Linked DNA regions of Saccharomyces cerevisiae S288C. The gene in region 2 interacts genetically with the main gene of each other region. Each region holds a gene or a part of one and is shown on either strand. Other genes may lie near its edges.

Region 1 (4,305 bases), on a different chromosome or scaffold from region 2:
GAAACCAATAAACATAGGGAAGTGAAGTGGTTAAAACTCAAAAAAACCAGGAACAATGCAAGCGTATCTTTAAACCTATGTTTTTTGGCAAATTCGGTGGGCTGTTCACTCCTTTTAGTGTTCATTAATGACTGTAGATGTGATACTTTCTTCTGATTAGTAAATTGTTCCTCCATGAAAATTGTGCATGGATCCTTTTATGTAACGGAGATAGGTGGAATCTTAAAAAATATTGGGGTGTATATGAATAAAAGTTATTCAGAGTGATTACCTAAAGAGATGGTACGAAAAATGTGGAGATAGAAAACAAAAAACTTTGGTAAGATATTATTATAACAGAAAGAATTTAAAGTTTTCTCTGCTGGTACTCTGTATAATCCTCTTAGTCCTAATAAAATTTGTTTATTCCTCTTTTAATAGAAACTAACGAGTTGTGAAAACCTAGTTATGTTACTTGTTATATTACACCTTCAAGAGGTTTAGGAATTCAACGTTATAAACACACAACTGCATAAGTTAGGCTACTTTTTTTTTTCAGATTGTCCGTATAATGCGATAATCGTTGAGTTCATGCCGATCTAAGTACCGAATTAGAAAAAAATGTGTCAAAAGTAGGCAGCCAATCTGTTTTGCTGCCATATTTTTCCTAACAGGATTTGCTATGTATGAAGTACGATAAGTATGAAATATTAGTGCTTGTACATACGACCAATTTGTAATAACTAGTGATGTAGAGAATAAACTTAAAGAAAACTTATGAATAAATAATTATGGAGATATAATTACGAATAATTATGAATAAATAGTGCTGCCTTAATTGGCACTTGCAATGGACCAAGTCTTGGCATAACCTTCAAGGTCAACAGGTTCCCAAGGAACTCCCAAGCATTCTGCAATGACTTTACCCAAATCTTCGTTTAGCAAACCAAAGTATTGCGTAACTCTCTTTTTGACTTTAGGATCTTTGATCTTACAAGCGTGGCAAACAACGTTATGAACGAATAATTTCTTCTGTTCATCGTTGTATACCTTTTCATATAGAGCTCTTGGCTGTTCGAAGTCTAGTGGACTAATACCATAAACGTAGTAATATTGATTAATTTTGGCATCAACAATATGCTCGTTTCTGATTTGGTCTTGTTCCTGTTTTCTCACAGAAACTTCTGTTACTTCGTCAAGAACTATCCCTTTGAACTTATCAGATACTTCGTCGTTGTCTTCATTTTTGAATTTCAGAGTTTGATTTGGTAAACTGGAAATATAATTTGGCTCAGGACCGAAATTGTAGTAACTCATTGGGCCGTCCCTTTGGAAGTTCACTGCTTTAAATGGACACTGTTCGGCAGTGTATTGGGAATCACCTTTGGAGTATGGACATCCCAAGTTTCTTGGTCTGTTGACGGGCAATTGCTGATAGTTGGCTCCCAATCTATGACGTTGAGTGTCTGGATAGGAGAAAAGTCTGGCTTGTAGAACGGAATCATTAGAAGGCTTAATACCTGGGATACAAGTGTTCGTTGGACTGAATGCAACTTGTTCAATTTCTTGGAAATAATTGTCAACATTCTCCGTTAGGGTGATGGTACCAAATTTTCTCAAAGGGAATTCCTTGTGTGGCCATATTTTCGTTAGGTCATTTACCGAATACCTGAACTTAGTTGCTTGTTCGGGTGTCATTGTTTGCACATAACAGTTAAATTTTGGCTTTTCGCCATTTTGCAATTGAGTGAACAGCTTTGCCTGATTATAATCAGGGTGGGAGCCTGACAGTTCAGCAGCCTTATCTCCAGTCAAGGTTTCAAAACCAGTATCCGACAAGACGTGGAATTGCACATATGTGTCCTTACCTTCTTTGTTGACCATGATGAAGGAATGACCAGAGTACGCGTTCATACTAGCCCACGAAGCAGGAGTACCTCTATCACCAAACATGTAAGTTATTTGATGGATTGATTCCGGATTCAATGTTAGATAATCCCAGTATATGGTAGTGTCCTGAAACTGATTCAGATGAGACTGAGGGTCTCTCTTTTGCGAATGAATAAATACGGGAAACTTAATAGCGTCTCTGAGGAAGAAGACGGGAGTATTGTTGAAGACCCAGTCATGGTTCCCCCACTCGGTATAGAATTTAAAAGAAACACCTCTTGGGTCTCTTGCAGTGTCTGGTGTACCACTTTCACCACCAACGGTGGAAAAACGAACAAGACCAGGACATTTGTAACCCACATTCTGGTATGGAGCGGCGTATGTAATATCACTCAAAGAATCTGTTAGTTCGAACTCCAGTCTACAACCACCACCTTTGGCATGGACTACACGCTCCGGAACTCTTTCTCTATCGAAACTTGCAATATTTTCCAGCAGATGGAAGTCTTGCAGTAAGATAGGGCCGTCTGGTCTTGAGTATTGAGAAGCGTATGGGTGATGAGAGTACGGAAAACCGTTTTGTAGAGAGTAAACTTTTTCTTGCTTTTCTTCTTTTTTACCGAACACGTTCATTTGTGAAGCTGAGCTGATTGATCTTATTGGCATGAGACAAGAGAAGGATTTTTTTAATAAGGGCAAGTAACGACAAGATTGAGTTCTGGAATAGAGGTAAAGCAACGACTTCTTATACGTGTAGCAGTAGGGGATACGATAAATGCACAATGTGTCCAGGCTACGTCGAATCCTTACAAATTCTACCTGTTGAGGGAGTCGGGGGCATTATCGGCTAGGCTAGCCTGCAGCCAGAGGGTGAAGTGAACTATACTTTTTCAGCATACGAATAGTACTGGCAATGACAATAATAACCCTTCTGGATCGGCGACGTACTCATCATTGATAGGAGGAAACAATACGCAATTTCACCGCTTGGCCCCTTACCGGTGATCCCCTTGAAAAAGAGGGCCGTCCGCGGTCTTGGCTTAGGGTCTCTGTGAAAGCACGCAGGAGAGCTGCTCAACGCGGAATGGAGATAACGGAGGTTCTATCCCCATGTGCCTCGTCATCGGTTCCTCATCATCTCTGGCTTCTTGAATTCGTTTTATTGTCACCATACAATAAGTTTGACGTCGTGAAGGCAGTTTAGTTCTCGGACTTGCAACCCCTAATCTTCAACGTCGAAAATACCTTATGACGCATATTTTAATTTTCCATCTCGCAACTAATGCTACCCTATTTTCTCTTACCAGCGAACACAATTCAAAAATTCTTAATGTTTAGCAGCTCATGCTGATATCGTATTACTATTATTACTGTGGTCATGCTAAAAAGCTGACTTATTCAATTTAATTTTTTTCTTTTCTTTTATGTTTTGATAGACAAAGGTTTTTTTTTACCTAAAATTCCTCTTTCCTCACGGACCATACGATTAAAATCATGGAAATTAAGTATTACAGTCGGTAATTTCTTTCTGGTTTTGTAAAGCCTGAAAAAATATACTAATATAGTGCAGGCGATCGTACATCTTCCAAGCATCTCATAAACCTATGCACTGTGGATTCTATGTACTTGGCAATAGATGAGCATTTCAATGAAGGAAACGCCTGAGTCAGTTATGTAAAAAGTACTACGTACGGACCAATCGAAGTGTGTAAGAGAATGTGACATCAATTGTTGTTGCATTATGTCCATTGGAATATGCAGATCGGCTGTGGCATTTGGCCAAAATGTTATAGAGTTCACACCTTATTCACATACTTTTTCATTTTCTGTGGCTTTCAAGGGTGGGGGCGGTAGTGATAACCATTCTCTAAACAAAAGCCCATGTCCCACACCAAAGGATGTTTTTTTATATCACGTTCCCTTTTCATAAAACACAAAAGAACGAATACTTTTTAAGCCGAATGAGTGACAGAAAAAGCCCACAACTTATCAAGTGATATTGAACAAAGGGCGAAACTTCGCAAAAAAAAAAAAAAAAGAAAAAGATAGTGTAGTAGTGATAAACTGGTGCTTCAATTTCTTTTTATGAATTGATCTGTATCTGCACCTAGATCGATTTGATTACAGGATAAGGGATATGGTGCGATTCGCGAGCTTTTACCAATATGTATAAAAGGCGGCTGTTTGAAGCCATTCTATCTTAATCTTGTGCTATTGCAGTCCTCTTTTATATACAGTATAAATAAAAAACCCACGTAATATAGCAAAAACATATTGCCAACAAAATGTCTGAAATTACTCTTGGAAAATACTTATTTGAAAGATTGAAGCAAGTTAATGTTAACACCATTTTTGGGCTACCAGGCGACTTCAACTTGTCCCTATTGGACAAGATTTACGAGGTAGATGGATTGAGATGGGCTGGTAATGCAAATG
Region 2 (2,981 bases):
TCGGAGGCTTGGAATTTTTTGTTCGATATATCCAAATTTGTCTTCTCTCTTAAGCATTGTGATAGCACATTAGTTGATAAGTTTACGACAAAGTGTCAGTGTGCGCTTATCACGCTTCCTCTTTCTAATCCGCTTGAATCGACAGATGGTTCTAAAGAAGATGTAGATGCGCTTCCTTAAGTAAACACATTGCTACTTGCATTTTACCTTTCAAGATGTAGTGATTACGGACAGTTGAAGAGGCTAATAGCATCTATTTCTTCTTTAGTATATGGTTCCTGCAGGGCAAACAATTATTTCCTTTGCAATTTTGCGGCAGTGGGGAAGAATGATAGCACTAATAGTGAACTTGTGGACAATTATGCTATTATAGCAAGAAAAAAAATTTATTTTTTTTTCAAGGGGGGTGATTGTGATGTGAATTAAATCAAGGATATACGCTTTTATCGTCATGATAGTCGTGCGATTTGTACTTGGTTATAGATGAAATGAGTTAGTTTTTAATAATTGTGATCACAATATAGCTGTACTTATCAGGCCATTAAAGTTTCCTGTAAGGTGCACGAGAAGTCATGGTCATAAAATTATCAGAATCTCCAAGGAGAGGTTCAACGGCGTCGGTTGCCCATACTCCATATTAAGTACCCTGTCATTTCCACAGTTACATTAGTTGGAGTAGTATAGAAACCAAAAAGATCAGAACTCCAATAGGCAGTATTTGGGTCACAGTATTCAGTGTCACGTTTTTTAGTTTCATAAAGAGGTCCGCAAGGATCATATCCATCCTCATCACGCTTCAAAACTGCATAAGTCACACAGGTAGGAGTGCTCTCACAAGGCGGACTATAGTATATGGAGAGATTGGTCTGTCCGCTAACGGAACCTAACTTCTTTGTATTGGAGTATTCATAGCCCATATATTCAGGCTCCAAGTATGTGGTTTGGTCGCCTATTGTGTACTCATAAAAATTAATATTCATACCATCTTCCCTTTTGTTTGTTGGTAAGCAAGCTTCTGTACTGGCTAAGGTTGTAGTAGCTAGCGCCACGAAGACCAAGAGTGCCGAAAATACGGAATGGGGTATAGACATTTGAAGGTGTGGAGGGATGCTGGTATCCTCCAATTGTTACATTAAGATTATCATCTGGCTATCATGAAATGAAGGTTACCTTTATATAAGAAAGACTTTTAAAAAAATGTTTTGTTTTCTGCTTTAGGGAAGTAGATATCGTTCCTGCATTTTGATATCAAAATAATCTCCGGTAGGCATCAATTGCAGTTAAAGCTCTTTCTGGCAAAAACCCCGATACCCATGTAGGTACGCTCTTTTCACCAGGTCTTAATAATTTGATGGGCACCGTTTATCCCAGGCAAGCCAAAAATTAGAAACAAAAAACAACTCACGTACGTTAAAAAACCTGATAGTGCTTCGTACTACATAGAACCCTGCGCTGTTATCTGCTAATCGAGCACTACTAAATTCCCTCCAAAGGAAGTAGAGTATAGATTCTATGCACCGATGTGAAAATAGTAAACCTACGATAACCTTTTTTTTTTTACTAACCGAATTGAGCAGATATTGTTACCTGTTACGGTCATAAAAGTTAAACGATTTTGCTTTATTTCTGTCCCTGGCTGAAAATAGTAAAGAAGAGGGAAGGCAAGTTCAAGGGCAGCTTAATAAGTCATACGAAAACGTTCTCGAACTTTTTTTCTGCAAGCTTTTCAGAACCACGATGGAAAAAAGAAATTTTTACAACACTAATGCCAAGTAAGGTTTTTCGGATTTAGGGTGGCGTCCTGAAAAAAAAAGAAACGTCTCAGAACGTTTCGGAGAAAAAAAAATAAGGTGTCAAATTTCTTAGTGTTTTGACGGGTGATGCCCTTCCAGATAAATCTCGTGGAGATTGGCTAGCGTCAAACGTCACCGATCTCTATTTCTTTTTTAGGTTATTAAATTTCGATTACATCGCGTGTTCTTAGATAAGTTACCAAGGGTGCTCAAAGGAAAATTATATTTCTTTTTTTCTTTTGAGTAATTGCAGGTGAAGAGATACAGAGCAAGGAACGTGATGTAATGCATTTTTTTTTTTGTTCCTTGGAACCACATGATTTACTCAACAAATTAATCTAGTTTGTGCTTCAAGCATGCACCATTGTGAATATTTTTTTAGTTTCAAGGTGACAGGTTATGAAGATATGGTGCAAAAGACAAATGTATGGTGGCAGGCATAGTAAAATGATGGTGTGGAAGACATAGATTGTATTTGTTTTGCATTATCCAAGTGCTCGAGATTGGTTCTAAAAAACAAGAAAATAAAGGGCAAGAAGAAAACCAGTTACTTCTACATTGAGAGGCCAGCCAGGTTGCCGCACACGTGTTGGTGCACGTTAAGTTTTGGGCTCACAGTGGTAAATCATAGAAAAAGCAGTTGCTTAATTTCCCTCTTTTTCATATTCTCTACGCTAGCACTGTAAGGAAAAACGCAGAAAGCAACATACAACGTTTGTTAGGATGTTCGTACTTCACAATAAGCAGACAATAACCATTTCAAGTGTAAAAAAAATTTTTTTTCTGTTAGTTTGATGCAGAAGACTTATACTTTTAACTTTTTTGGTTAACTTACACAAACCAAGCGCACAACGCCTGCGCTTTTTAGTATTAGATGGCATGATTTGAAAAGCATAAAAGTCTGGATATTGGAATTTAGGGAGGCGGCGGGATAGAGCGATAGTTTCTCCCCATATAAAGTCTACAAAATGTGTGGGTTTTTGATATCGATCGAAATTTCACAAGGTGTTCTATAATGACTAACATTTTTGTGAGCAGTTGACTCTCCTTAGTGCACATTGTGGAATATGTATGCCATGTCTCTTAAAGGGGTAAAAAGAGGTATTCTGCATACTACCAGTGGGGTTTATAGCATCGTTTAATCTTGTTATCCTGTTTCGGTTTCGGCAATTTCTTTCAAAATTCTGT

What was found.
Region 1: mutations in YFL051C (region 2) and CTT1 together harm fitness more than expected from each alone (negative genetic interaction), as found in Saccharomyces cerevisiae (2 studies listed by BioGRID).

The regions. Positions count from the first base shown.
Region 1 is NC_001139.9:652,831-657,135, reverse strand, and holds CTT1 (catalase T), read right to left. Parts: upstream 2,503-4,305; coding exon 814-2,502; downstream 1-813. Other genes in the region: NNF2 (Nnf2p), read right to left, coding at 1-176; PDC6 (indolepyruvate decarboxylase 6), read left to right, coding at 4,155-4,305. UniProt on the Saccharomyces cerevisiae protein: Occurs in almost all aerobically respiring organisms and serves to protect cells from the toxic effects of hydrogen peroxide.
Region 2 is NC_001138.5:29,450-32,430, forward strand, and holds YFL051C (uncharacterized protein), read right to left. Parts: upstream 1,092-2,981; coding exon 609-1,091; downstream 1-608. Other genes in the region: ZNF1 (DNA-binding domain containing protein), read left to right, coding at 1-180.